3 linked regions of the Ovis aries genome follow. The protein of the gene in region 3 interacts with the protein of the main gene of each other region in a biochemical or structural test. Links are inferred from orthologs where the notes say so. Each region holds a gene or a part of one and is shown on either strand. Other genes may lie near its edges.

Region 1 (10,003 bases), on a different chromosome or scaffold from region 3:
CCCCCCAACCCTGCCCAACCCACCCTCCAGTTATACCCCTAATTGTAACGCCCAAGTTTTCACTTTTGTGCAGCAGAGCACATCACAACGGTCACAAAATTGTGCAAAACGTACAACCATTCACACGCGTCCATACACGTGAAGACAACTATAAGCACTGTTTCAGCATGCAGGATTCAAACAATAAATAGCTAAATCTACAACACATTTCTTACCAGCCAAGGGAAAGTTTAAAGTCACTTATAAATAGAAAAGAACATCTAGCAAACAGCTACCAACAATGTCCCCATTGTTCAGAAGCGTTTCTGGGGAGCACAGCCCTGGGAGATTAGCGTGGAGTCCAGCGGTCCTCACTTCTGCAGCCAGCCCAGCCACCTCCCCTCCTGGCCCCACAGTCGGGTTTTCAAATCTCCAACAGCAGCTGGTGTGGAGACTTCAAGCTTGCTCCTCAGAGAGAGGTGACAACCATTTCAAATTCTACACATAAGTGGTGGAACCCATGGAAAATCAAATGCTGAATATGGTACAGCAAGGAAAAAGGGCTGGCTTTTCTCTCCCTTTGAGAAGCTGATTAATGCTGACATTAATCCACAATTACAAGACAAGGACTAGATCACAGGTTTGTTCATTCATATTTAAACCATGTGCTACTTGCACTGAAAATCCCACCCCCTCCCCTACCCCCTTCCTTCATGTCCAGTTAGAAGCATTTACAAGGTGCGGTGGATCGGATGCGAGTCTTGTAGCCACTTCTTTTCCTTTTTCTTGTCTTTCATTCGATCTGGCCTCTCTAAAGTAGAAATCGCATCTTGTCTCATCGAGGGATGGAGTCAGCTAAAATAGAAGAGGAGGAAGATATTTTTGTTAGTCTCAAATCTAAAAAAAAAAAAAAAAAAATTAAACTCAGGACAGAGCTGGTCAATATTGCTTCTAAAGGTCTTAATTACACATTTGGCAGGCAATGTGCAAAGACATTTAAAATGCCAGACTTAAAAGAGTACACTCGTGCATTCGTGCAGGCAGACGCTCCAGCAAAAACAATGGTGTCCACAGAAAAGATCCTCACTTCCTGATTAACCATACATACATGCAAATCAAACCTATACACCTAGGTGCTATTACATCTTCTGCTTCTGATACGCGTAATTCCTCTCCATGGTTAAACAGCGCCACTGTAAAGTGATCACCAAAGATTCCTTTGCCAACTCACCCCCACCCTCTTTGGCCCATTTACCATAAAGGATTCCAAATTAAGTTTATTCACCATATAGAAAGCAGACATATTAATCCTCTTATTTAAATGCATCTCTGCTATTCATTACGGCAGAAGTCAGCCTCGCTTCTTTTCACATGACAGCACACCAGGCCTCAGCAGCCAAGGCTGGAGTCTATTCTCCAAGTTCATCAGTCCACACTTAGGAGACTCGGGCTGTGGCACGCAGCATTCAGCATTATCACCTACAGGACTGACCGCCCGCCGATCATCAATTCAAGGTGCTGTGAGCACAAGCTTGCAGGTTTCATGGGAGCTGGTGGTTTCTCACACCACTCATCCTTCACACTTGGTTAAGTCTAATTTTACATAAGGAGAGTTTGCAGAGGGCTTTTGTCTTTGAAAAGCTCCCCCTATCTGGTCTTGGAGCACATTTCCAGCCCTAGCATAGGAATCTGCAGCCCCAATGCTGAAATTCCAAGTAGAGACAAAGGGAATTCAGGAGCGGCCGCTCATCACTCACAGAGTCCTTCTTTCTCTCCTGTATTCAGAAGTCTGATTCATTCCATTAGCTGTTTCTTCCATTTCAAAACAGTGATTCAAGCTTTCAAGACATTCCTTAGACTACGGTGTCATCCCCCACCCGCACCTCCTTGGAACCTATACATCAACATGAGGCCAAAAGAATGTATCTTGTAATAATATGAAATTTCAAGATGTTGCATACTCAAACAGAAAAACAAACAAACAAAAAACCCAAAACAAAAACACCTCTAGAAAGGGGAGCAGGGAACAAAGCAAACCAAATCTAAGTGTTGTCAAGCTGGGGCCACAGAGCATCATGAACACGCAGTGAAATCAAAGGCATTTCCTTTCTGTCCCTCTCAGGGCTGACAGAGCAGCAACAAAGAGTTAAAATCACCTTGGTGGATAAGCTTTCAGGCAGAGGGAAACTTTGTGTTAACACTGTATTAATTCAGATAGCACCTACATTTGGAAAGCAAAGCCAGGTCCCGGAAGCGCTTGCAGCTCAAGTCTGATACCTACACAGTACTTTTAAGTCACTCCATCCGGCTTAAGTGTTTTAACATTATCTGGTGTGCAGTAAACTTTAAAAATTTAAACCAACATTCTCCCCGTCGGAAACTGCAAGAGTGGCTTTGATCAGGCCCACACCGTCCTTTAAAAAGGCAAATCCAGCCCCCTCAAATTTGCTTATCCTGTGCTTGACTCTGGCTAATAGCACCAAGAGTGGAGAGGATATGTTTCGAATATAACCCAGCACTTTTTTTGCTCTATTTCCCAGGGGCCGGACATGTGTGATTAAATAGGTTCAAAGACCTAGGAGAGGGTGAATTCAAATGTTTGCTAACATATTCACTCTGGGCTGAGAAAGAAGGTACCAAAAATGAAGTATAGAGATAACAAGCAGGTAACAGTCATAGAAACCTCATTTTCCCCCAACACATAAAGCTAATTCCACTTTGAGGTAAGGTCTAAATTGAAGGGAGGAAAGAAAACACAGACATGGGCTAGCTATTTTTACCCCTTTCTTTGCTTTTTTCTCATTTATCAATTCATCCAAGTCTAAACTGGGACAGATCTCAAGGAAAGCACAATTCGAATCACTCATTTAACAAAGGGGAAGTCTGAAGTGCAGAGAGGTCCAGACTCCACAGCTGAAGGCTAGAACCAGACACACATGGTCGCTCTCTTTCTGCCTCCAGTTCCTTATCTTGCTCCAATGATGCCAAGCCAATTACCACTTGGAAGTATCCCCACTGTCACTGGCAATTTTTGAGGCTCTCCTATGCAAATATAGTCAATTCTGGACTAACACCCAATTTAGCATGCTGTTAATTGATGCTTCTGCCTAGAAGGTTCTTTAAACTTGCTTTAGAGTTGAGTAATGCATTTATATTGCAAATGAAATAACCCCTTTCAGAGCATTTGTTTATTCAGGATTACTGAGATGACAGCAAGGCTGCAAAAACCAGTTTGGTTTGGAACAGTTACCCTATTTGCTCCCCAGAGGACAGTCCTGCACCCCTGACGGTGTCTCAGTACAGGTAAACATTATGTTACTAAGAACTGTACCACCTGTAACAGGCGGGAGGAGATGAAGAAGAAATGAAAGAAACAGAAAGATTACATGTAAAAGGGAGGTCAATTTTACTGGTGTTTCTAAACAAGCTGTAAGAGATGAGGAAAGAGAAGACAAATGAAGAGTGCAAACCCCCTCTTTGCTGGATGGTCCCCTTGAAAGGTATGAAACATACTAAACACAGAACCAAACCTTTCCAAGTAATGAGTGCATTATCACAAGCAGCTCCTCCAAAGCAGATTCTTAAACTTCATCCTCTTATTATTAGTAATGAGCCCTCTAGTCACCAAAACAAATCAACCCATTCTACGTGCCCTGTGCTACGCTTACACATGCTTAAGTGACTTCGGGGCCAATCCCGAGAGTGCTTTACAAGCAAGCAAGGCAGCCATTAGCTCCCTGAACCCTGAACTGCGAAGGCCTATTAATTATTTGAACCAAGAGTATGATATACTCTTAAGTACACAAGACAACCATTATGTACTCAGATATATGACACAGAAACACAACTCTTGTTCACCCTGACAATGGGGTCAGCCTGAATGATTAACTCTGAAAAGCTGCAGGGAGGGCGGTTTGGATGGCTCATACAATGCAGGTGCAACTATTTCCAAGGACAGACCCAGATTTCATGAAAGTTAGTAAATGCCCTAAAGGGGGCAGTCTGGGGATGGGGGGGGGGCGGTGGGGGGACATTTTAAATAAGCTAATAAATAATTTTGGACAGAATACACTGGAAATAATTTCAGCATTCAATTTTTGAAACCCTACTTCATTCCAAAAAGGGTTTGAGGAAGCTCAGTTTAAATATCAACAATTATCTCCTGGGGTGATACCAGTGTGAAGGGTACTAAATGCCCATTTGGCATGAGCTAAAGTGCTTATGCTTTACAGCCAGACTGCCTGGGCTGAACTCTTGACCAACCTTTCCGCCTGCTGAGCCCTATGACCTCAGGCAACTTACTTAACCCCTCTGTACATCAGGTGTTCTCATCTATAAGGTGCTCCTGTAATAATATCCCACAGGGTTGTTGTGGGGACCAAATGCAAAGATCCATGTGAAACATAGAGCCCAACAGCCAGCAAAGGGGGAAGGCTCAGAAGACATCAGCTGGCATTATTAACATAGGTCAGGGTTCCCAACCAGGTCATAATTAGAACCACTGAAGAACTTTCTAAAAATGCTAATGCCTAGGACCCATCCAGACCCAACAAACCCAGCCTCTGGGGTGTGCAGATTTTGGAAAGCTGCTTGGGAGATTCTGAGGCTCAGTAGAGGCTGAGAACCACTTGCTGATGATCTGGGGGGGGGGGGGGCGGTGGCGCGTGTTGCAGCTGTGGTCAACACAAGTGTTTAAGCTTTGGGGTGCAAGTGCTTTTATTGGTATAGATTGTGTGGTACCTCTATAGGATGGGCTATATGGAGCCTGTCTTATTCCACGTACGAGCTGAAACAGCTCTCTCAACTATACAGATACTTACAGCTAAGCTGACTTACCTCACGCTCACCCTCTCCAGGATGCAAGGCATTTAAGAAGGCAGATGTTTCCAGGTGCTGACAAACGCAGTAGGGATCAGTGAGTACGGGACTGTGGTGATGCTGTTCCACGCATCCAATGTTGGGTCGTAGCAGTCCAGAGTTTTGCATCGCTGAATGCCAAAGTACCCTCCAACCACGTAGAGTTTGTTTCCGGAGGCCACGGCGTGGCAGCTCATGCGCTTTGCCGTCACGTCTCCCACCTTGGTCCACTGGTAAGTTTCGCTGTTGAATTTATATGCAGAGCAGGCGGAGAACTCAGTATCTCCCCCCATAATAAAAATCTGGTTGCCCAGCACAGCTGCCGCCGTGTAACGCCAGGGCTGCGGACAGGTGGCTGGGACCGTCCACCTGTTTTCACACTGATCGTAACACTGAACTTTGGGGAGCTTGTCATGACTGACACTGGTACCCCCAAAAGCAAACAGCTTGAGCTTGGCACTCACCACTGCGGCGTTGCTGACCCCTTCTCGGAGGGGAGCCACCATGGTCCATTTGTTGGTTGTGGGGTCGTAATGTTCCACTTGCTTCAGAGAGACTGAGGGGGAGGCTGGGAGGCAGCCAGTGGCGGCAGTGTGCCCGCCGACCACATACAGGCAGTGCTTGAGTTCAGCAGAGCCGTGGCCAAACCTGGCCACCAGCATGGGGGCCGCCTTGGACCACTCCTCATGCAGGGTATCATACACCCAGACGTCTTTCGAGACTCCATTCTCAGACCCTCGCCCCCCAGTAATGTATACTTTGCAGCCAATTGCACACGCACTGAATTCTTTCCTCGGGCTTGGGATGTCAGCCTTGGGAATGATCTCTTTGGCCTTCTGGTCGACCAGGTACAGTTTGTCACACATGAAAGTCTGTCCTCCCAAGAGGAAGAGGGCATGGCCGGTTTTCCGGGGCCGGGCACAGAGGCTGGTCACCACACCGTCGTTCTGCAGGATTTTCAGTTTGCACCTGATGGCCTCTTCCACGATCTCCTTGCTCTTCCTCTGCTTGGTGATGAGTTCTTCCATGGCCACATTCTCCATGAGATAGATGGCCGGCAGCAGCGCCAGCCGCACCGTCTGCAACAGCTCTGGGAGGTAGCAGTAGCGCTTCTTCAGGTCGTAGCTGATCCAGTTAATTGCAGACTCGTACACAAGCCTTTCGTCTTCGGTCTCCAGCTCTTCACTGGACAAGAGCTGCACGACCATGTCCTGGGGCAGCTGCAGGAAATCTTCGTTCTTCCTGATGGTCTGAAAGTTGCTGAGACACATCCGCCAGGAGAGCTCGTACAGCTTGGTGCACTGGTGCGCGTCGGACAGCAGCAGCATGCCCAGGCAGTTGGTGGGGTGCAGGTTCTTTTCCAGGAACTCGGCACACGCATCCCGGATGTCTTGAAACTCCAGCATGTCGCCGGCTTCCAGGAGCGATTCTGCATTTTCTTCATTGATGATGACCCGGGAGGAGTAGGCATAGTCGAGGAGCAGCTCCAAGACTTCCGGGTGGATGGAATTGTCGAAGTTGACTTCACTGTCCTGGCTCTCTTTCAGGCCCCCGCTGAACATGGCTTCGAAGTAGCGGCTGCACGCAGCCAGCACTGCCCGGTGACAAGGGAAGGTCCTGTTGCCCGCATGGAGAAGGACATCAGTGAAGAGGCGCTGCTGGCGCAACAGGTTCAGGTGAGTGAGGACACTGTCTGCGTAGGAGGACTTGTGGAACAGGTAGATGTTGATGGAGCCACTGCTGGCCCTGGACTTGCGGTTCTCGTGCACACTGACAGACATTGTTTCCACTCCTGCAAAAAACCAGACACAACTACTGAACAGAGATGCTCGCAGTGTGCGGAACAGCCGAGCCAGAGCCCCAGTCAAAACCAGAAGACAAAAGACACGAGGGAACAGAACACTGCGCTGTGGGCCCCGCTGCCTACTAATCTGAATAATGGCTGGCCAGGCCCATCCAAAGCCAGAGACAGTTACTGATAAAGAAAGGCACTTACACTACTGTTGAGCTATGTAACCTATACGTTGTTTAAAAAAAAAAAAGTCACTGCTCAAGAGCAGGTTCATCTTGGAAAACCTGATTGCCAACTTTCAGGATGTTGAAGGTCCTTGAGAATGTAAGTCAGCAAAAGCCAAGAGGATCAAGCTCTCATTCTCACAGGTCCCTGCCCTGGTCCAGCTGATTCAGGGTTGGTCACTTGCAGTGCCAGGCCTCCAGCTCTCGTAACGCCGGGATGGGCACAAGTTTTAATGCCCTATGCAACATAAAGCCATGTGTAAGACAAATACCTACTAATTAATTCCATTAAGAATTCCTTTGGTAATACCCACTGTCTTTACCACAGTGTAGGTACAGTAAATGGGAAATGTAACACTAAAGCCACAGGTGTAAGCCAGCTTCTGAAGTGACCAAACATTTACTTAACATTACAAATCATTTCTAACCAGACACCTCTACCACTTCAGTCCTAAAAGAGCCCCAATATAAACATGACCATATACTGATCAGCAAGCTATCCTGGAAACACAGAATAGACTCTGGCCCCAATTACCACCCACCTTTTCTGCTCTGGCCAGCTTCCAAAATGGGGATTTGTGCCCAGAAAAGAAAGACTAGTTTGAGTAGCAAACTCAGGAGTTCCAATGTTCTATTCTCCCTGCTTTAAGTTACTTCTTAGAAAACCAGCTTCAAGAACAAAGCGTGTATCCACTGCTCTCTCTCGATTACACAGGGATCACCAGGGCCATCCCTGGGTACTTGCAAATGCTGGCACCTGCATATAGGGAGATCAGAATGCAGATGTTATCTAAATCAAAACACACATACACACGTGTGTGTGTGTGCGTGTATGTGTGTTGCCAGCCATTGTTAACTTACGGTCACTCTAGAATTTATTTGCCGACTACAGTGCTTTCCTCAGTATCTAAATGGGAATTATAGCAGAACCAAATCGACTCTTTGGCTTTCCTCAGTAATCAAAGTGTAAGCTAAAGATACAGGACATGCCTATCACCTATGTTCAAAAATTGAATTATCTTCTTCCTTTTTAACCCTACTCTTCTGTTAAGTCAAAGGAATAAAGGCTTCAGGAACCCGCCTGTCAGAGGATTCGTAGGGAAGCTGTTTATTCCAGGACGGTGAACTGCATTGATACAGTATCTGTTCCAAACAGGGAACAGCTAGTCCTTACCAGCCTTGTTTCCTTCAACCTGACCAGCGGAGGCAAGGCAGGCACAGAGAACAACAGAGGCAGGTGCCTTTGACTCACTGGTCTCATATATTAGGAGTTGCAACTTGTTTTCTTTTATTTTAGGCATGTAACTTTTCATCATGAGTAACCATGATTTACTGGAGAAGAAAATAAACAACAGAGTCCTAGGGCTCTGGTGTTAAGACTTTAGGAAGCACCCATCAGTCTCCACAGTGACCTGAGCTGTGACAAATGGTGAAGAGGCCAGCATCACCCCCACGTCAAGCTAAGCCTCTAAGGTCTAGTCCATGTCACCCAAGGCCCAATGCTCCGACAGGACCCTGTGTAAATGCACCAGGTTCTCCAATGTGTTCAAAACCTGAATTAGCATCCCTGCTGTTCAACTGCTGCAGTCACATGAGCATGAGCACATTCAGTCTTCAGTACTTTGAAGAAGAGTTTTAGCCTAAACCTCAAAAAATGGTATAAATACTCTTATGCCTTATATAGAAACTTGCAAGAATTCCAAATGAGTAGCTATGCTTTCTAATGTTTTTTTTTAACGAATGCTTCCAAAGCAATCTCAAAACCTGCCTCCCTTGGATGGACCTAGAGATTATCACACAAAGTCGGTCAGATAAAGACAAACGTCATATGATATTGCGCAAATGGAAAACCTTTTTTAAAAAAGATAGAAATGAACTTATTTACAAAACAGAAATAGACACACACATAGAAAACAAACTTATGGTTACCAAGGGGGAAAGGAGGAATAAATTAGGAGTTTGGGATTAAAATACACACACTACTATATATACAGTAGACAGCCAACAAGGACCTACTGTATAGTATAGGACCTACCGTACAGCATATATACTCAGTGTCCTGCAATAGCCTATAATGGAAAAGAATTCATAAACCTGTGTGTATTCTGAATACTTTGCTGTATACCTGAAACTAACAACATTGTAAATCAACTGTATTTCAATTAAAAAAAAAAAAAAAGCTGCCTTCTTTCTGGCTGAGACTGAATGCAGCTGACAGAAGAATGAGGTTCTTGCACAAGGTACAGAAGCACCAAAGTGCCTGCAGATTGAACTGGAATCACACCCACCAGGCCCAGAAGGCATTTCCCTGAGCAGTGTAAAACAACACTCATAGCCAGGCTTATACTTAACATAACAGTTTAGAAGACTGGGATATAGGATCTGCATCTCTTTACAGCCTGTGTTTATGCTCCTGGATTTCCCAAGTAGGTTCAAAAGCCAGCAGAAGAGCCTAGCCTGTCATCTTGGATGCCACCCAGATGGAGAAGTGTGTCACAGTCAAAATCCAACAATCTTGCAGGAATATTTGATTAAAAGGTACACTTGAAGACCCAAGGGAGACAACTTGTCTTTTGGTTTAAAAGTATGCAAACATGAAAACATCAGCAGAAACCATGTACACAGACTCTAAACACACCTTCAACACAGAATGAATCATCCTTTTGGCATTTTTTAAGCCCCCAGAGAAATAATATTTGCATGCCAAGTAAGTGGCCAAAAAACGCACACATATACTTAACCTGCCTCTACAGAGAAGGCGAAAAGGGCTGCTATTACCAGTGAACATCAAAAGGAATTCTGGCTACAGTAACTTCAGTTCACTTAATGCTCTTTAACCAGGATCTCAGCCTCCAATACTTAGCAGCGCGTCACATTTCTTTAAGTTTTGAACCTGATCTCCAGGCCATCGAAGGAGAAACTGGGCAGATTTTCTCAGGCAATTTACATTATTGATAACAAAGGAACAACACTATAAAGAGACTGTTAACAAGAAAAGCATTTTACCATAGAGTCCTCTATAGCACTTGTAACGCTCTTCAACACATGCCCGTGTGGGCGACACCAGATACACGCCAAGTTCAGCGGTTCATCTCCACCCCGCCTACCAATTCCTATCCTTCGAAACTAACCATGTTAAGGCTAAACAACC
Region 2 (10,769 bases), on a different chromosome or scaffold from region 3:
CTTTAATAACAATAACAAACTGTGAAGGTTCACAGTTCCAGACAAAACAAGTGTCCAATTGATACTTGAATAATTGGTTGTGTACATACAGTAATAAAAAAAAGTCCTCAAGTTTGCTGTCAAATATTAAAAGGACGAGTAGAACACTTCACAATCTATAGGAAGAGATGGAGAGAAATAATAATCCTTAATAATGGCTAATTTGGAGAATCACATTTTAATATTACCTGGAAACATCAAATTTACTGTGGACAATCAGTACTTTTCAATAAAAACTAGTGCTCCAACTGAACATTAAACAAAAAATATACATATACACTACTTATTTTTCTTTTTGTGCTGCCATAAGCCTTAACATTTTCAATTCAACCTTTGTCTTAACAAGTTTTCCCTGAAATCTTAAAAGAATTGAGAGGTTTTTTCCCCAATATAAGTATTGAAGTACTATATTTGCTAACAGGCATGCCTGAAACTAATTTCAACAGCATTACTAATCATGTAAGTCTTACACAATCACTGCTAAATTATCAATGAAAGACTATCCTAAAAGCAAAGGTAGCTTATCTCTGGAATCCAAGTGTTAACATAACAGCAATCCATTCTCTATAAAATATACAATAAAGGAAAATCTAGAATCAGAATGCTTATATTTGAATTCCATTATAACAGAAAAATTTTCCGGCCAGGTAATCTTGGACAAGTTGCTTCCCCTCCCTAAATCTCATTTACCTATCTATAAAGTGAGAATAAAGGTACTAGCTACTTTTTGAGTTGTAATGATTAAAGTGAGCAGCTGCATTTGGTAGAGTGCTTATTAGCACATAATAAACATTCAATAGGCATATCACATGTCAATCATGTATTATTCATGGCCCCTTTTAATTAAAGCAACCTAGTTATTTTTGGCTTCCTGAGACAACGAATTCAACATGATACAATTAATGGTAATGAAAAATGAAGTACTACTGTTAATGCTTTGCACCAATGTTACTAATATTTTTGCCTGCCTTCCTACCTACCATCTCTTTGGCTTTAGGGCATACTTATTCAATACTAGGCCTGTAAATTCATTTAAATTATATCACCATCTAAAACGTAAGTTTCTGTGGGAGCTCCCTGGTGGCCCTAGTAGTAAGAATTCTGGGCTGTTACTGTCGTGGCCCAGGTTCAATCCCTGGTCCAGGAACTGAGATCCGGCAAGCTACACAGAGCAGCCAAAAAAAAAAAAAAAAAAGGTTTAATTTAAAAATAAAATACAAATTTCTAGGAAAATAATATGTCCTTCGTCAGGAATGTTTACTTTTCATTATTAAACTGATCTGAAAGTACAATCAAGAAATTAACAACTCCAGACTATGTTAATAAGGGAAATGTTAAAGGTTCATATTTGTGCCATTGTTGGTCATGGTATCCTGAAGTCATGGAAAAGGAAAAGTTGGTTTGACAAAATTAGTTTCAAAATAACCAAAACATCACTGTCTTAATACAACCAAATTAAAATGCTTCTAAGGAAAGTATTTAATCCAAAAATATAAGATACAACCATTTATGGAATTTCAACTTGCATTTCAACTTTGAAACTAGACCTTTCTCCCCAAAACATAAGCACAAGTGAGAAAAGCGACTGTAAATTAAGAATCCAAATCTACAAAGTTACGTCCTTGTATCTTAGGCCAGACCAAGTATACTACAGACATAGATATAAACTGAAATAATTTACTGAATGTCCATTGTGTGCTGAATATTAACTCATTAAAAAAAAAACTAGAATAAAAACTGTAATAATAAATAGAAATAAACACCGATTTTTATCAATTTAATGATAAGAAACTTCTGGGGAAACAAATTGTTCTCCTTTATGTCAGGTTTTCCTTGCTTTTCTATTCACATGAGAGTATGTGCTCAGTCCTGTCTGACTCTTTGGGACCCCATGGACTGCAGCCCACCAGGCTCCTCCGTCCATGGACTTCTCCAGGCAAGAGTGCTGGAGTGGGCTGCCGTGCCCTCCTCCAGGGGATCCTGCAGACTCAAGAGATGAACCTGTGTCCCTTGCACTGCAGGCAGATTCTTTACCATCTGAGTCACCAGGGAAGCTCTCTATTCACATAGGTCTTCACATAAATAAACATTTCTATATCACACTCAACCGAAGTCAAAGACAATTATATAACTAAGGATGATTTGTACAACCCAAGATAGAAGCAAAGATTGCAACCTCTACTTTAAAATCAATGAACCATGAAAACATTTCTATCCTCACAATCATGCAAGATTTCCCTCCTCTCCACACCACTCCCTTCAACTGCCGCCCCTCAAAATAGGCTACAAAAATGATGCTAAACATACCAATAAACTTATTTACTCATGGTGATTATGTTCTTAGTAGAACAATATCTGGGAAATCAGGTTGGTCCTGTTAGTACCAGATATAATCCCATCACACCCACATGCTCTGCCCCTCCATTCTCCTCTTGCAGGGTGGAGCATCACAAGAGACTCCACAGTCCCACAGCCTGCCCACTATCCCATGAGTGTTAAGCATGGAACTGTGGTACAGCCTTCTCTATACATAAAGAAAAAACACACACAAAAGCAGACCTCCCCTGATCTCAGAATCTGCTGCTGACACTTAAGCTGGCTTCCCCAGCCTGCCTGTCTCTCCAAAACAGTGTCTCACACTGGCAACCCAAGTCCACAACACGGGGCAGACAGCACAGGGTACAAGTATGTGATGATTTCCAGCTGAAGCACGCAAATGAAATGAGAAGATGTCACCTCGTTTTCTAAACGCAATTCCCAATCAGTCGTGAATTGATTTATGAATCTCTGGGTTCCCTTGTGCCTTTAAGTCATTTCACAATTAGCACTCTAGGGGTACATTTAACAAGACAGCATGCAATTCTTATATGAGGGTCTAGTTTTTTAACAACTCTGGAAAGGTCTGGTTGGGAAGGGAATGAAATTTTAACGAAGATAAAATTCTGGTTTTCAGTTTCACACATGAGCTCTCTTTCACATTGGAAAATCTAGAAACTAGTGAAATTCTAATAACCTGATTTTTATATGACACAAAGAGATTAAACTCTCTCAGGAATAGAGTAACTCTAAGTTGCCACCTACTCTTTGGCTTTAGCCACCATGCAACTAAATACTGCACAGCAATATGCAACTACTATTATTCTCTTCACTAAAGAAATTTGATATAAAAAATCCTGTATGAGGAAATAACTTCTCATGACTTAGCTAGGCAACTAGCTAAATTTTCACTAACAGTTTATCAAAAGACTTATTACTAATATTTTAATAAAAAATCACCATAGCACCTTACTGCCTCCATTTTGAGTAAAATATCATGTGACTCTACAGAAGAACTGTCTAGCTATTAACATTTATCTAATAACACTTGAATATGAATGCAGACCAAAAAAAAAAATAGTTACACAACATTGAGGTTTAAAAAAAAAAAATCAAATATACTCTTCTAAACCGGATGAACACTTAGCGCAACCAAAACACAAAAAGTAAATAAATGAATAAATCAACTTTTAATTTCTGCTGAAGTCTGCATATTAACATTATTTTAAACAGCAAGGTTTACCTAAAATAACCATTATTTATGAAACTAGTTTTAAGAATGTACCAAAGATTGAAGGCTGTATAAAATACCTAAAATGCTTATGTTACAGCTTAGTCCAAAAAATATTTTCATTGTTTTCAAATAAATTACCATCGGGTTATTATAACTAGGTTTCAAGTATGAGATCTTTTGAATTTACATTAAAAATTATTTTCTTTTTGAGAAATGGAAAGAATATAAATAAAAACTTTCAGTTTACTACTCCTGAAAATAAATCCAGCATTTTTAGACATAGAAAAATTAGAGACAGTGCAATAAACAGACTGTTAAGTTAAATACGATAGCCAGTAACCAACTGCTGTCTGCTGAATTTCAAGAAAATCTAAATATTAAATTTTTAAAAAGTGAACTCATCTATCCTCCCATCTCAGCACTTTCTCAACTTTCCCATTACAATCAACAATATAACTTGGCGGTCAAATCTTCCAGACCAGTAACATCAGAATTTATTTTTAACTCCTGACTCCTTCCCAAATACTCCCCCCTTCAATCCAATCCAAAGTCCTACCAGTTCATTCACGCTGTCTCTCAAATGTGTTCTTTTCATCCGATTTTCAATTTTGCTTTATATTGCCTCACTATTCACAACATACTCTACTACTCCCTAAAAGGGCTCTGACGTCTGGTTTCTAATTCATCAACTTTGCTGCCCAAACCATCTTCAAATATTTTGTTCATCAACCTATAGTAAATTCCAAACTCTCTTGAATCTCAACCATAATCATAAGCCCCCTCTGCTTTCCATCAGTTAACATATTTCTCAAATTCCATCTCTTCTTATTTTCCTATTTAGGCCCCTTTTATTCAGATTTACTAACCTGCTTTATAAATACAAAAATACAAAAGTCACCATCTCTGTGCCTCTGTCCATTCTGTCCACCTAGAATCCTTTATGCTTCTCAATATAAGTTACTGCCTCCTTTAACACCTGCCTTAAAACATACCTCTGTAAGAAGTCTTCTCTCCAAGCCATCTACCTCATGCCTTTATTTTTTGTTCCTCTGAACAAAGTATTCTATTTGCATTTATAATCTTGCAGTCATCATATTACTGTTTTCACGTTTTGTCCCATAATCTGCCTCAAAAACTGATAAGCTTTTCAAGGCAAGGACTATAATTTCTTATCGCTTAAACAGGGGTCCCTTAGAACACCAGCATTCCAACAAAGGCTTTCTTCCAAAATGTATTTAAAGTTACGGTTGTCAAAAACACATAGTCAACACTGAACTCCAATCTTTTAAATGTTAAGCTGACCTATATGGTAACAGAAAAGTCAACATTTTCACCTGCACTTTGCAAGAGTTACTCCATCTTCAGTCAACATCCACAAAGGATTCATAGAAAATCCTGTGAACTAAATGAAAAGTCCCCAAATTTAATATTATTAGGTATCCCATTCTGCTCTCTGAATAAACTAATTACCTAAAATTGATTTCAAGTGGTCTTTAAACCAAGATGAAAAACATCCTAACACTCCAGTACCACAAGAGGCTCTTAAGGAGCTATTATAAGATTTGCTTCATCATAGCTGAAAATTACCCCAGAATTTTAAAATATTCCTCTCAAATGACCCCATGAAGTGCTTAGAAAGCTTGACCATTCCCTGAAAGATGCATCATCAGCTTCCCTCTTCACATACTCTGCATTCTGAACTAGCTAGTCACCAAAAAAAAAATTTAACTCTCAAAAATAATCTCCCATTCAGCTATTACCTTAGACTACCCTGTTTCAGACAAGTTCCAAAAGCCACCATGAACTGAAATCCTGAGTTCAAGTAAGAGTGTTCATTTTATAATCAATTTCACATAACAGCATATACCTTTTTAAAAAAAATCTCAATTCAATTCTCTCCTTCTTCTAAGCAGTAAAAGTTTTTCTTTGCCCTCATTCATGCTCCTTTCTGAAGGAATAAGGAAACTATAATAGATATTTTTGTCGAATTCTTTAAGTATATTTAAATAAACTGACATTAAATATCACATAAACATATCCATAACTAGAGATACGTTAAAACACTGGATACTTAGTATACCAAACACTCAAAATAGACTTTTTGAGCACAAATCTGGGAAGAGAGTATAGACGTCTAGCAACAGCCTTGAACAAAGCCCAAATACCTCTATTAAATCTGGGACCACAACCTTCTGCAAAACCTATGATGATAAAGTCTAAATCCATATTCTTCTAACTTCATAGCCTTATCTGAATTCGAAAGGAAAACAATGCGAGAGTATTGTAAGCAGTCCTAAGAAGGAACATCTGAACTCTAGATCATTTAGCAAGTACTGAAAGCAATGGCACCCCAAAGCTGAACTTTAATGATGAGTCAGTGACAATTAACATTCAACTTACTATTTAGCAACATGACAATATAAGCCCCATTCAAAACTCGGACCTACTTTCAAGTTACCTTTTGATTAAACATTAACTCTATAGTGGTAGATTGGCAATGTCAAAACGGTAAGGTTAAGAGATAACATATTAAACCGCGTATCCAATTTAGAACAATGCATGTTGAGATACTACTGCTACTGAGTATCTATCAGCGGTACCCGTCCCTTCTAAAGAGACAAATCAAAGCTCGCCTTCCAACCGAAATGTGGTTACTTAGCGAGTTCATCTCTGGATTAAGAACAAACACTTTGTATAGTCACACAAGTAAGAAAGAAATGTTAGGAGACGGTGACATTCACCTCTTCCATTAAGTATACAAAACTATGGTAACCCTCGAGACCTGAGCGAACTAAACTATCCCTCATTCCAAAAGACACACTCTGGAAAAGCACATAATGGTTTATGAGTCTTGTCCTTCGCTTTAATCAAAAGGATGAGCAAGTAAACACTTCCATCACTATTTTAAGGTGGAAACACTCAACCACTTAATAAAGCTGACTATCAATTGCTAGAAAACTGTAAGAAAAGAACTAAGTTTCAGACAGAATCATCTAAATAAAAATCCCATTCCCCCGATTCAAGGTTAATGAGACCGGAGAAGGGATATGGGAGGAGGAAAAAAGGAAGCTGCCTCATCCTTGACTGAAGACAGGTTTTTGCCCTTTCCCATTACCTCTGTTTTATCAGCAGGTCTCGTATTTTAAGATCCTGGTATTTCAAAGTCTCTTATTCAAAGGGGAGGTGGAGAAGGGGTGTAAAATAAAATCAATACTCACTGCTAACTTTCATGCTGCCAAAAGCTGAAGGCTGCTGCACTGGCTTGCAGCTCTCCGCAAAGGAGGTGGTTCTGGGCCGCCCTGACATGATCACTCTTTTACCGAATCACCTTTTTTCCTTCCTTCCTCCTTTTCTTCCTTTTGTTTTATGTTGGGGTGTTAGGTTAATGATAAATGCAGCATTAAGTTTTCCCACAGGAAAAAGACTTCGTCCTCTTGCCTTTTCACTCCTTTTGTACAGCTATTTAAAAAAGCGAGCGATGTATTTCTCCTTGAAGACAGATCAGTACGGATATTTAACATATAGACGATCCGGGGCTGGGAAAAAATTACAATTCTTTCCCCTCCTTTTCCTTGGAGGGCAGAAATGGGTGGGAGATCCTAAAAAATATATATCACGTGAAACGGGGACAAATACTGGATTGAAAATAAGTACTCTGAATATTATATTTTCCTCGGGGATTTTTTTTCCGAGTCAATGAAGAAGGGAAGCGGCGGAAGGATCACGAGTCTCACGCTTGAAAAGAAGGGGGGATGGGAAGGAGGGAGGGAGAGGGAGGGGTGGCTCGGAGATGCGTCGGGAAACGCTGCGGCTCCGGCAGCGGCAAGGATCCGGCGGGCTGACGGTGGGGGCCCGGCGAACTGGAAGGCGGCGGAGTCGCGAGTCAGTCAGAGTCGGGCGGTGGCGGCGGCTCTTCCCCTCATTGCGCCAGGAGCAGCTGCAGGCGGCGGCTGGATCCAGCGGCCATGGCGGCGGCGGCGGCGGAGGCAGCTCCCTTCAGACCCCAGGCAGCGGCTCCTCGACTGCTCCCCATACGCCGGGGACATGGGAACCCGGCAACCGCTTCCGTCCCTCGGGGGCCCCCTCCCCCGTCCAAGGCACCAGCGCGGCCGCCCTCCCGCCCCTCGCTTCTGCACAGTCCCGCTCAGGAAGTGTCCGCGCTTTGCCCCCAGTCCGGAGCCCTGTCAGCGGCTGCGGGGTCGGCTCCTCCTCGCTTCCTTCCTTCCTTCCTTTGTCACTCGGCCCGGGCGGCGGCGGCGGCGGCGGCAGCAGCAGCAGCAGCAGCAGCAGCACGAGCCCGCATTCGCCCGGGTCGGGGGCTGCTCTCTGTGAGGAGTGCCGTCTGCGCAGCCGCCTAGCTCTTCCCCACTCCCCCTCCCCCCTCCTACTCGTCCTCCGCCTCCTTCCTCCCCCACCCAGCCTTACACCGCCCAGCGCCCCGCCGCCCGCGTAAGAGGCGTCTGGGAATCGCCGGCCGAGCGGGGCGTCCGCCCCCTTCGACAGGGGAGCCGAAACCCGAGCGGAACCAATCACGGATGTCGTTTGTTTGCGGATCCTCCCGGAAAAAGCCGATCGACCTGAAGAGCCAATCAGAAAGTGTCGCTGGAAATTCACGCCCAAGGACGGAAAATGCCGAAGATAGCCGACCGAGGAAAAGGTGGGTTCGCCTTGTTCTGTGGCTGGCTGGAGGAGAAATTCGGCAGTGACCAATCAGAGTCGCTGGCCCTCAGGAAAAGCTTGAAGAGTTAAGGACAGTGAAGCCCGGAGTCGCTGGCGAAACCGCACGGCTGGGCGCCGTGGCCGCTTTGTAATTGGCCGAAACTCCGCTGGGAGTGCAGCACCCTCGGTGATTGGTGAAGGGAATGGGGCTTCCGAGGACAGTCTGGCCAGTCAGGACGCCTCCTCCCTCGCCGAGGTGGGGAGAAGTAGAGAGCGAAGGGAGGGCGTCTATAAAGCGCTTTTTCATTGGCCTGAAGCTCAGGAGCTGGAATGGGGGCAAAAGGGAAAGGGAGGGAGGCCGAAACTCGTAGCAGTAGCCAATCTGCACTCGCTGCTGTCTAATCGCAAGACCTAGCTGCAGTATGATTGGCCTTCAGCCTCCGGCGGCAGTCCTAGGAGCGGGGAGAAGCGCGACTGGGGTCGTGGCGGACGGTCTGACGGCCTCGCCTGCGGCTACTCGCAGCTGGTGTGGAAACCGCATATAGGGAGCGCGAGGCGGTGCGAAACTGGTGTGGTCGGTGGCGCTGGGTCCCTCGCTCCAACAAACTGATTGAGGGGCTTTCCCCACCCACTGGAGGCTCTCTGTGGGGCGGGGCTAATTCTGCGCGCCCGGGGTTCCCCTCCGCCCGGGAGAGCGCATCCCGAGTACGGGCGTCTTTCCCGAAACGGTCAGACAGATCCAGGGCGCTTCTCAGGCCGAGTGCGAGTTTTCAGACATTAAACTGAGAACAAAGCTTCTAGAGAGGCAGCGCCCCTGGGCGACCGCGCCCCGCCCAGTCGCGGAGGCCATTGATAAGAGTGAGGGCGACTGCGCCTCGTGCGCGCTGCCAAGCCCGGCCTTCCAGAAAGGCCCCTGAGAAATGAGCTCATGCTGGCTGAGCGCCCTTCTGGGGTGCGACCAGTCGGCGCAGAACGGCCCCCGAAAGCAGGTGAGGGGAAGTGCAGTCAGGCCGGATATCCCGAAGCCTCTGAGGCAACGGGGAGCCAGAATAGCCCTTGATAGTTTTTAGTTTTTTGGAACGAGGGTGATCTATAAAAGTACTATTTAAGTAGGTTTCGCACATAGGCCAGTGTTCAGATTCCTGGGGTGTGCCCAAGGACAGTGAGTTACGGTTACAGAAAAAGTAAAATGAACAGTTGCCATCCTAATTGTAATCCCATGGTGCCTGTAATTTCCACCTGCAGAGTCATCCCTTTCTATTCAGATACCATCTGTAGCGAGCACATATAAAAATTACTTGATCAGGTTAACTAGCTATTGCTTTGGAAAACTGATGAGGAACTTAGGACAGAACAGAGTAATCTTTGATGGAGGACAGGAAAGGTCTAGATAGGGTTTGCAAACTCACATGTTTTTAGGGGCCAGAAAAGTAAAGTAAATGAGTGAAACTGGCCTGGTGTAGACAATGGGGAGTGACAAGCAACGTGGCAAATTGGAGTGTCTGTGCTGTAACTGAAAGGAGCAGCTGTTCGGCTCCAGCAGATTGTTGCCCTGAAGAATGTGGATACAGTGGTCTGAGATATTCTGTCCCCTTCCCCCCATCCCCACCAGGAGAAACCCTTATAAAGCACGATTTTTGTATGAAATCTCTCGATTTTTACACCAGTATTTCCAAACTCTGCAGGCCAAACTAAAAACATTCCAGGGTAGATGTGACCAACCTGCAATCAATTTGTAATCTCAAATCTGGACATAGGTTTTTGATAGTCCAGGAGTGGTAGAAGCTCTTGTTCTTTGCAGTGAAGACAGAACATGAGGTCTCTGGATGTCATGGAGAAGGGTAAAGAATGTTGAAAGCAAACTCAGTGCATGGCACCTTTGTCAAATGATTGTTGCCTCTCCCTGCAAACTACCATGTAGACCTTTGCCACTAGTCCCTAAACTGCTGTGAGGTAAAGCTAGAAATCCTGCCTTTACTCCCCATCTCAACTCCCAGTTATACTGGCAGGAAGCTGAATGACAAATGTTTAGGTTATACAAATTGGAAACAGCTATTCTATTTTATATAATAAAGTACAAAAATAGTCTACCTTGAGGTTATGATTAGTAGCTCTACTGTTGCTGCCTTCAATTTTGAACTGACACTTAAAAAAAAATCTGATCGGGGGATAGGGTGGGGAGGTGAGTCTTATAGGAAAACAAAAAGTAGTTCAATTTAGAATTAGGACATAAGGAGGGGAGAAATTTATGAGAAAATACAGTATCACTGAAAGTAACATTCAATGATTCTCTGACCTTTCAAACTTACTCTACCTTCTCACTTGCTGTTAACCACTTATCAGTTTATAGTAATTTTAATATTTATGTGTTTATAATGTGCCAGACACTGTTCTTAAGTGTTTCACACATGCTATCTCAGATTATAATCATACAGTATAAGTACTGTTATCACCTCCACTTAAAGGAAACTAAAGGTCAGAAATATATACTGACTTACCTAAGGTCCACAGAGCTAAAGTA
Region 3 (10,803 bases):
ATGTTGGCAAATCTTACTTCCCTTTTTCACATTCCAGCCTCTGAGTGTTAAAGACTTTGCAAGGCCTGTCCATGAGGATACTCTGCTCTTACATTATTGCATTTTGCCTTTTATTTGTCCAAACAGGTTAGTGGATCTCCCCCAAATTCTGAAAACACATACTGTAAATCTTTGAACAATCCAGAAAAGTACAAAGATGAAAGTGAGAAGTACCTGACATTCAGAGTCCATTATTAATACTTGGTAACCAGTCTTGCAGTCACAGCTCTAGGTGTGTTTTTCTGTACTCTAATTTCCCCATGCAGCAACGTTATGTATGAACAGCTTTGCCATCACTTGATCCTGCACTTCTCTATGTACTCTTAACATGCATCTTTATCCGGGGGCTCCTATTCTGCAGAGCGAAACTCTGAAAATATAGCAGCAGATTGAAAGAGCAACAGATCTTGAGACCCTTACTACATCTACACCTAAAAATGTGGTCAAATTCTCCAGGCTCCTCTCTAGTAAACACAGAATGGAAATATTTGTAAATCTTGTGGTTAAAATTCAATTTGAAAATGAAATGGACCCAGCGTCTTGGGAGAAAAGCAAGGGTTCCTCCTTTACCTCTGTACCCCAATGCCACTTTTTTTTCTGCTTATTACTATAAAAGTAATATATGTTTTTTTAGGAAAATGCAGGCAGGCAAAAATGAGAAAAAATAAAAAGCATTTGTAACCTAATCAGAGTAATTGTGGATAACATTTTAGAATGTGTATGTTTGTCTTTTTTCCTATGCATATATTTTTGTGTAGGTATCAACATACATAATTCAAAAGCACTCTTTTAAACTTCCAGGTTTTTCTCTTCACACACTGCATTGCAGTTCCTGTAGGGCACTCATTCTATTATGAGCAGGAAACTACAAGAGTTAAAACCGGCTTTGGTAATATACAACTCTTTGTATCAGTAGCTTGCACAGTGAGGTGTGCTCACCAAGGAACCAATGTTATGGGTGTGTTTCTAAACTAATACACCTATTATTCTGAACACTACTGTATTGAAGTTAAGTTTATCCACTGGGCATGATGCTACTGAAGTTCAAATTCCCTCAGCAGATACCCAGCAAGGATGTTACATAACTGGGATAAATGAGGTCATGTTAGGGCCAAAATCTCTGTATGCATATATACCTCAATCTACTTAACTGATGGAATATCTGTGTTCCTTAAGTGTATTTGCATAAAGAGAATATCTCACCATCATCTGTCTAATGGTGTGATACTGATACATACTGTGATGAGGTGATTTACTTTGCATGTAGCAGTGAAGAGGGTATAACATAGGGAAAATGCCTTCTTCATTTACAGGGTGGTCAATTGCTCCTGAGGGTTTGAGACTCTTATTAAACTGCAAAGTACCATCCCTATATGTGACGCCAATAATTGTTAACAAACAGAAAGCAGCCAGGAGAAAACTTGTCTTTGATATTCAATATATGCTGTTTGGTTATCTATTGCTATGAAACAGACCACCCCAAAATGTAGTGGCTAAAAACAATTTATTACAATCTCTCACAATTCTTTGGGCTGACTGGGCTCACCCAGGCAGTCTTCTGCTGGTCTTGCTTGGAGTCTCTCATATATGGTTGCAGTCACATAGCAGCTGGGGCTGAGGTCTCCTGGGGTTCAACTGGGCGGCTAGAAGAGCTGGTCTGGCTTCTTCACTCACATGTCTGGTGCCTTGGTTCACATAGCTGCTCTTTCCACTTGAAGTCCCATCCCCAGGGCTTTTCCCCACAGCTTCTCTTCCCACAAAGATAGTCAGACTTCTTATATGATGGCTGACTTCTAAGACTGTGAAATTAAAAGCTGTCAGGCCCTTTTAAAGCTTAGCGGAGACTTGGCATAGTGTCACTTCCGGCCTTGTGTAAGTTACAGCAAGTCTCAGGGCCAGCCTTGATGCGATGTAGGGGACTACACAAGCACAGCAACACGCCAGGAGGGGCAGTTCACTCAGTGCCATCTGGGGAATCTGGCTACTGGATCTGCTCCCGCTGGAGGCTGTACAAATTTAGAATTTTAACAATAATGCCAAGGGAGTTTGGATACTTTCTTGGTGAAACATGGAGTACAGTGAAAAGGAATAAGCAGAGGGAAGAAGCCTCACGGTGATGGAGGACTTTGGAAACAGTAGGTACTTTCTTGGTTCTTGCAAATTTGGCAGATTAGATCACGGAGAAGGTGAAATAAAGGGATCATTGCATCACTATTTTCCAAACTTTGCATGCTTGGAAGGTTTACCTGACGATGCTTGTTTTTTACGACAGTTCTGGAACTAAGTATTACAACTTGGTCACGCATCTCAAGCGTACCCGGAGGGTTCTCTTTCTAAGGATGGCAAAGAACTCAGATATAAACAGAAACATACACAGGTTAGTAGCATGTGAAGCCAATTGAGTGGGAAAATAAAATAGCAAGGAGAGCCTGTCAGTAAAATAACTCCCATGGCAACAGGACAGGAGAGAAAACCCAGCATCCTGGAACTTCTCAGTGCACAGTATCTGTGCCTTCATGGCACTGCATTCAAGTTTAGAGGGCAAGGCCTCGTTTCTCACATGGATATGATCTTGGATCAGAGTTCTGCAAAGACCAGCAACCTCCTTGATGTGGGTGGTCTGAGACTGGGGTTTCCTCCTCTTGTGCTGAATCCCCATTTAATGCCAAACAGCTTTTTTTTAGCTGTTTCCTTAATTTTTCTTAAACATGTTCAGACTCTTATTGTATTGTCCTCCTCCCTTTGAAAATATGTACTCTGCAGGTGCCTGAAATAATATACTCCCAGTAATTGCAGTTTTGCAAAAGTAAAGTTTATTTTATTCAGTCTAAACTCAACGGAAATTTGTTGCCCAACAAGGAAATACCAAATTTTATAAGCCGCTGGAGGGCAGCCATCATGTCGTATATGACTTTGTTATTGCCTGCCTCCTGTGCTCTCTGTCTACCTTCTCCATGTACTAATTTTAATAAGTAACTTGAATTGTTAGCAATATACTCTGGTGCCATTCTTTGACACAGAAATGTCATTTCATAATGTCTCTGCATATTCCATGTCAGGTTCACTGTAAATCACTTCTCCTGAGCTTGTTGTTAGTGTGCAGATCATTTTGCAGCCTTCTCACTTAACAGCTGAAAGTTTAATTCAAATTGAAGAAACTTACTTCAATTACAGGCAATTAATTTAGGCTTCACTTACCTTAAGAAATATTCCAACATATAAATCAACAGGTAAGTCCTGGGAGGGTCAAATTACGCAACCAAGAGAAAGTAAGTTCTTTGCAGCTTTGGGGGCGTTGGTCTGCTGTAGTCAGGCTTTTATGGTTTTCTTTTTCTTTTTTTGGCGTCAGGTTTTTGAATGAAATAGTAAAACCAGTGCCAGACACTGTCTACTCCACCTGGTTTTGCATAATTCGAAGAAGTGATAAACTGAAAATCAGGCTTGTTAAAGAGCTAGAAAGAGTGCTGTTGCATAAGAGAAAACAAAACTAAACCATTTCTCTATTCTTTTTTAAATCATAAGATTTCACAATATTCCTGTTTTCAAGTACTTGAAGTTTGCTCTGGGCACTGACTACTTTTTAAATAATTGTTTTTAAGGTGCAGTGAATAATACACATTTATCGTAGATTTAAAACATACTTAAAGTAACAAAGAGATAAAAATCATTCAAGGTCCTGCAACTATTAATATTACTAGTAATATTTTGAAGAACTTTTTTTTTTCTAGGTACATGCTTTCACAGAACGGGTCCATACTACACAGTTTTATAACTTGTTTTTTGCGTTTTTGTTTTTAAAATCGTATCTTGAGTACGTGAAAACTTCTAGAGGTTATGACACGTTTGTAATATCGAACAGGGTTAAAAATCGCCATCTATGGTGTGGCGTGTGCACTCTGGTGGGAAGAGAATGCTCCGGATGGGCAAGCTCGACCACTCTCCGATCCAAAGAGACTTCTCCATTCGCCCTCGGGGACTGAAGCCTGGCCAGAGTGCAAGGCGTGGGAGTAAGTGGAGGGCGATCAGGGTGACCGAGCACGAGCTCCCCGCGCGGTCCACTCTTCCCCCGGGCCAGTCTCACTGGCTGAGCCGGAGCGAGAGGGCAGCTCGCCGTGAGCTGGGCCCAGGTCCCGGCTTCCGGCCCCCACCCCCCGGGCTGGCGCCACTCTCGGGCGGTGGGGAGAGAGAAAGCCGGGCAAGGTTCTGCAAATCCAAAGCAGGGAGGCGCAGCTCCGATACCATCGCCTTTGCCGAGTCTCCAAGCATGTTTGTTTCAACTGTTTAAACTGTTTCAAAGCACCCGAACCCCAGCGACCTTCGGCAAACAACTCAATCCCACGGGCGGGGAGCGATGGCCGTATTCGCTAGAAGGGCAAACTGACAGCGGAGGCAGGCGAGCTTCGGGGGCCTTCCTCCGGCACTCTGCCTGCCCGCAGCCGCCCCTGAGACCCCCGCCCGCAACTCTTTCCCGCCCCAGGACGGCCAGCTTCTTGCGTCAGCCCGGCGAGGGTGGGGGATTTTCGGAAGGTCGGCCCGGGCGGCTGGCTGGGGAAGGAAGGGCCTTGGGCTCTCGCCCCGCCCTCGCGGGGCGGGAGGCGGAGCGGGACAAGAGCCCGATCGGCGACTCCGGCCAAGTCAGGGAGAAGCGAGTTCCTAGGATCCCCCAGGAGCCGCCGCCGCCACCAGTACCGCCGTGTCCGCTCCAAGCCTCGGCAGCCGGAACAGGGCCGCCGTCGGGGAGCCTCAAAGCACCGTCCCCAGCTCAGCATGATGGACTTGGAGCTGCCCCCGCCGGGACTGCCGTCCCAGCAGGTGGTGCCAGGACGGGAGCAGGGGCGCGAGGGAGCCGCGGCCCGGGAGGGACAGCCGCATCGGCCTCTTTCCCCGTCTGTGGCCGGAGCGGACTGCAGCTGCCGCGCACACACCAGAGCCGCCGCGCTTGAGCTGGGGCCGGGGGAGGGGAGTGGCGACCCCAAGGGCTGCGAGGGGTATGGGGGCGCGGGGAATGGTGTGACTGACAACGCGCCCGCAGCCCCCGAGGGCGGTAGGGTTGGGGTTGGGGGGCTACGCCAGCGCGCGTGGGGGCGAAGTGCGTCTCTAACCGCGTCCCCGGTCGCCGGAGCCGAGATGCTGGAGCCGCGGCCGGCCCCCTCTCCGAGTTTGAGCGGCCGGGAGGCAACCGGGTAGGAGAGGGCGGACACTGGCGGTCTGAGCCGGCGCGGCCCGGCCCTTCCGGGGCTGCGCGGCTCCCCCGCCTCGGAGCCGGCAAAAATGTGCCTAGTCACGGGGCCACTCTCGGGGGAACTGAGGTCTCCGGGCTGGGACCCGGAACCCCTCCTCTGCCGCTGCTCCTCTGCTCAAGACCTCCGCGGGCGCGAGCCGCGGCGCTCTTACCCTGCTGAGGGTTCTCTTAGGCAGAGTGATCAATCACTCCAGCCTTGCGATCGCCCTGAGGCCGCTTGGCGAAAATGCCCAGCTCCCAGGGTGGGGGCAGGAGGAGGTCACCAAGCGCCCAGCGCACTCGGTTTCCCCGACGTACGGCGATCGAACCCTGCCCTGCGCGCCGCCTCGCCCCGAGGGAAGGGTTCGGGCTCTTAGAACTCTGAGTCGGCCCCTAGCAATACGCCGGCAAGGGCGGGTGGGGCGGTGGACTCTGAAGTCCGACGGGCCTTCGCCCCCCACCCCACCCCAGCTCCCCGGGGCTTCTCGATCCCGGCGCTGTGCTTCCCGGTGGCGCACGCCGCGAGCGTCGTCCCGGCGCCGTGACAGTGGCCGGTTGGCTGTCACGGCGGCCCTCAGTGGGCCCTTTCCTGCTTTGTAGCGTGCAAACCTTGCCGCGCCGGGGCCAAGGGACAAGTTGGAGCTGTTGATCTGTTGCGCAATTGTTATTTTCCCTAGGGCGGCTTTGTCTTTGGATTTAGCGTTTCGGAATTGCAATTCCAAAATGTGTAAGGCAGGATATTCTGTTCTCTGCTGTCAAGGGTAAGAATTTCGAGTGTAGATTAGCATTTCTGTTGTTTTTAGGCTGTTACTAAATGTTGCGCTTTCATACATTGTTTCTCTTTTGGGTGCTTTATGTAGTTTTCCTTTTCTGTTTGAGAATTTGCCTCAATTGCTTTCCTAGTATGTTGCTTTTGAGAGGGCAGAGGGTGGGACAGCTGTGTCTCATAAAACTTCGCTAACAAGTTCTGTAAATGTCGCAAATGTGGGAACAAGTTTCTGTGTATATTTTGTAGGGACTTTTTAAAGGAGTAGATAGTTTTATTTCCAATTTGTGCGTGTGAATGCGTTTTTTGGAAAAATATTTAGTTCAAGGAAATGTGTAACCTAATAGGAACGGTAAATATATTTAAGCTCTTAAACATCAAGCTTTAGACTAATCCTGAAGTAAGGTTTTGATATATTGACAATGTAGTGATTGTGCCTTTTTTTTCCCTTGGAAGCTGTTGTCTTGAACTTTCCCCCAGTAGTGATTAAGACTGTGTTCCTTCCTCCCCACGATATGAAGAAATAAATTGTGCTTTCCGATTCAGCTGCTGTTCAGTCCCTATAGCCATTTCTTTAATAATCTATATGACCAAAGGATATATGATGCTAATGGACTCTAGTTTTCCCAGATTCAGGAATGTAGCCTAGAGGGGTATATTACTGAAGTTTTTATTTCTTTCTTAACTATATAATTTACCATTCCATATACAAAAGTGGGTAAACATCTTTACTGCTTTTTCTTTTAAATGTGAACTTTCCAATTATGTTTGTTAAGGTAACTCCCTTTCCACCCTTTGTAATCAGACCTCAGTTTGCATATGCGAAGAGTATAAAAGAAAATGGAATAAAATTTAGAGTTAATGTCATGCCTGTAACTAAGATTCATATTAAATCTTTGTAGTCCAGGAAGATTTGGACAGAGTCATAAGTGGATTCTAACCTCTTGTCAAAGAAACACCAGGCAGGAGGTGGTACGGGGGTAAAAGTTCTTCCCCCTTTGTGCAAAGGAGGTGTTGATGAAGAGCAGTAGAGTTTTACATTCTGAATTTCCATTAGCTTCTGGAAGGAATCATCTACCCTTTTCAAAGCTGTCTTGGAGAAAGTATTTTTGCATATGAGGAATGAAGTTGATCTTGGACTAGGTAGGTAACTTCCAAAGAAAAATAAGGCCTCCCTCTCATCTCCAGAAGGTTGAGCAAAGAACAACTTGACTTTTTAGATATTTGGAAAAAAACCTCTTGAGAGATTGTGAAAGATTGTAGTAGGATAAAAACGTAACTCACATCAGTCTGCATTAAAAGTAGCATGGGCCATTTTGGACTCTTTCTTGTCAACTTGGGTTTTTATAAACAGTGCTGGGAGGGGAAACCCCAAAATCTGACTTTCTTTAGGATAATCAGGAAGAATTGAAAGCTAAATACACGAATTTTACTTACAGAGCTACATGAGAAAAAGAAACCTCTGTGGGCTAGAAGCACTTTTTTTTTCCCCGGGGAATTTCCTCTCTACTGGCGGAACACATTTAAAGGGGGGTTTGCGTAAATATTTCTTCTTTGATTTTTCCTTCATCTGGGGTTCACTCGTCAGTGCATATTCTTGGATTCAGGAGTTTGGCACTCAGATAATCGTAGATGAGTTATTGGACACTTACTTGTGTGCCAGGCGGTACGATAATTGCTTCACATGTATAATTTCACAGTCACCGTGTAGAAAATACTGTCTCCAGTTTCTAGGTGAGGAAAGAGGCATAAAGCAGCCAGGGTCCTGGGTCCTGGTTAAAGTGACTCAACTATTGAGTGGCAGAGGTGGGATTCAAACCCTGGTAGAAGGACCCCACTTCCGAAGTAGACCAAGACTAGTTAACTTTAAACAGAAGGAAACTCTTACGCTTGTAAAAATGGACAAATCGAGAAAAACTACAAGAAGCACAGGTAGGAATTTAAAAGATTAATCTTTGCACCTTTTCCAGTTACCAAGAAATTTAATAAGTGTGTTTGTGAGGGGTGAGGTCGACCTTGAATACAGTGAAAGTAAATACAACCTGAAACTTTTCAGAAAGACTAAGAGGCCTAGCGGGGTTTGATTTAGAGAGGCAAGACCATTTCTTAATTTAATAATAGTTTTTAAAATTTCTGATATTTCAGCAGTATCTGAGATTCTGCCTTACATTTTTCAGGGACTGTTTTTCAAATCTCTTAGCTCCTGGTGACTTTAATTTTATTTGCCTTGTTAGTTGGTACATACTCCTGTTCCATTGGTTCTTTTTATCTGGAAATAGTGGTCAAAAATAAGTTTCGTAGTGAAGATGTTTGGTAGTGAATATGCTGAAGAGTGGGACAGACAGGGTTAAACCTGGTTGAAGGAAAGTGGAGAGAATGGGGAGAATTTGACTTGAAAACAACTAGTGGAAACCTGTTGGTTCAAATTAAACACTCATCTCCTGTTTCGGCATTTCTGAACTGAAGCAGGCATAAGGGCTCAAATCTGTCTAATTGAAGCCTTCTTGGGGTTTTGTGACTAGTACATTTCAAAGTTTAATACTTTATTTCTTAGTCCTTATCTTTAAACTGGAGAAAGAAATGGCAACCCACTCCAGTATTCTTGTCTGGAGAATCCCATGGACAAAGGAGCCTGGTGGGCTACAGTCCACTGGGTTGCAAAGAGTTGGACACGACTGAGCGACTTCACTTTATCTTTAAACAGGTTGTTCTCGGAATTATTATTGTCTTGTTTGTCTGAGTTAAGGATGCTTCAGGCTTTTCCAGATTCAGTGGATAATTTGCCTAAAAATTAATCTGACAACTCCCAGCATATTTAAAAGCCTGGCCCAGCCACTTCTGAAAGTTTGCTGGAATCTGCTGTTGCACAGCAGGGTTGTTCGTTCTTTAGTTGCTAAGTTGTGTCCGACTTTGTGACCGCATGAACTGTAGCCCGGCAGGGTCCTCTCTCCATGGCATTTCCCAGGCAAGAATACTGAACTGGGCTGCCGTTTCCTTCTCCAGGGGATCTTCTTGATTGAGGGATCGAACCCCTGTCTCCTGCATTGGCAGGCACATTCTTTACCACTGAGCCACCAGGGAAGCCCACCCAGCAGGGTATAGAAGGATGAATGTACTAAAGGCAATATTCAGCCGGCTTCCCTCACCAGTGGCTGCATGTTTAAGTGTACTGTAGAATGGAGAACAGAGTTTATATTCTGATAATAACGATTTCTATGAGTTTTAAAATGTAGTTACCAGCTGCTTTTCAATATGCTCTAACAGACATTTATTAAAGGGGCTCTAAGATACAGACCAAGGCTTCTTTCATTGATAATGGTATGTTTTCTGGAAATGAGTGCAAAAAATACGTTCAAGTGTATAACATTCCCAAAAAGTATTAGCAAAATACAAGTGTTCTTATACTAACTTTCCCCGCCAAGACAAAGCAAGATGGCTAAACAAAATCTTATCTTGCCTGAAGTTGGAGTTTTCTCTGGGTCAGCCCCTGCCACAGTAAACACTTTTTAACTATTATTATGAAGAATTTTAGGAACATTGAGGATTGGAAGCACGGTTTTAAAAATTGGAGTGTAATTGCTTTACAGTATTGTGCTAGCTTCTGCTGTACCGCAGTGCGAATCAGCTATAAGTAGACATATGTGCCCTCCCTCCGGGACCTCCCTCCCATCTCACCCCTGGGTCGTCACAGATCACCAAGCTGAGCTTCCTGGCATATGTCCTGCAACACCTTCAAAGCCTCATAAAATCTTTCTCTGTGCGTGAGCATGTAAGTTTATTTGGCCCAAACTGTGGTAGAAGTGAAGACGAAGCCAGGACATAAGAGATACTTAGAGCACCAAATCCATCCTTCAAAGACCTTGCTGGTAATTGAAAGTCACTATCATTCAGCAGCAGCCTGTATCTTGCTTTTGCTGTTGTTATTGTTGTTCGGGTGTTTTTGGATCTCTGGATGGCTTGTGGGGATCGTCCCTGACCCAGAGAGTGAACCCAGGCCAGCAGCGAAAGCCCTGAATCCTAACCACTCGGGCCACCGGGGAATTCCCAACAGCCTGTATCCTGAAGGATTAAAAAAAATGCCCTGGCAGTGCTAAGTTAGTCATGCTTTTTCTCACAAACTTCGATGATTGAGACTCCCAGCCCTGTGACATCGACAGCGTACTGGTGAGATCCAGCCTCTCCGTTGCTTTTCTTCAAATCAGAGAAGAATGATTGGGTAATAAAAGAAAACTGTCGGATGATTTTGGCTTTGAAGCCTTCTTCCAAACTTAAGAGTTTATTTTCTGCATTAGGCAGTTCTCCTCAATCACTTTTTAAAATCTCCGATACCTGTCTTATATATGCAGCTGTTCTTTCCCTCTACAATTTGATTGTAAGTTCCTTGAGAGCTGGGCATAGAATTTATATTTGTCTCTTCTTTAAATAGATTTAAGAGATGTAAGCCCCATACAGTCCACCCATTTAAAGTGGACAGTTCGGTGACTGAGTGTATTCAGACTAGTACAGCCATCACCACATCAATTTTAGAACATTTTCATCACCCCGGGAAGAAACAGACCCATTAGCACTCACCCCCCATTTCCCTTCAGCTCTCTTAGTTCCTAGTAACCACTCATTATACTCTTATCTCTATGGATTTGTCTCCTGGATATTTCATAGAAATGAAATCATAGCCTGGCCGGTTCTGTGTGACTGGCTTCTTTAACTTAACATGTTTACATAGTTTGACCGTATTGTATCGTATATCAGGACTTTGTACATTTTATTGCTGAATACT

Evidence for each region.
Region 1: the proteins of NFE2L2 (region 3) and ENC1 form a complex in vitro, tested with the Homo sapiens proteins (2 studies listed by BioGRID). The link is inferred for Ovis aries from reciprocal best matches to the Homo sapiens genes NFE2L2 and ENC1.
Region 2: of the proteins of NFE2L2 (region 3) and GSK3B, one has a biochemical effect on the other in vitro, tested with the Homo sapiens proteins (2 studies listed by BioGRID). The link is inferred for Ovis aries from reciprocal best matches to the Homo sapiens genes NFE2L2 and GSK3B.

What each region holds. Positions count from the first base shown.
Region 1 is NC_056069.1:7,081,704-7,091,706, reverse strand, and holds part of ENC1 (ectoderm-neural cortex protein 1), read right to left. Parts: intron 6,629-10,003; 5' UTR 6,618-6,628; coding exon 4,848-6,617; 3' UTR 4,816-4,847; intron 835-4,815; 3' UTR 1-834. UniProt on the Homo sapiens protein: Actin-binding protein involved in the regulation of neuronal process formation and in differentiation of neural crest cells.
Region 2 is NC_056054.1:185,708,686-185,719,454, forward strand, and holds the start of GSK3B (glycogen synthase kinase-3 beta), read right to left. Parts: upstream 6,896-10,769; coding exon 6,808-6,895; intron 1-6,807. UniProt on the Homo sapiens protein: Constitutively active protein kinase that acts as a negative regulator in the hormonal control of glucose homeostasis, Wnt signaling and regulation of transcription factors and microtubules, by phosphorylating and inactivating glycogen synthase (GYS1 or GYS2), EIF2B, CTNNB1/beta-catenin, APC, AXIN1, DPYSL2/CRMP2, JUN, NFATC1/NFATC, MAPT/TAU and MACF1.
Region 3 is NC_056055.1:132,848,578-132,859,380, forward strand, and holds the start of NFE2L2 (nuclear factor erythroid 2-related factor 2), read left to right. Parts: upstream 1-4,658; 5' UTR 4,659-4,806; coding exon 4,807-4,851; exon of another isoform or gene 4,852-5,201; intron 5,202-5,336; exon of another isoform or gene 5,337-5,574; intron 5,575-5,991; exon of another isoform or gene 5,992-6,021; intron 6,022-10,803.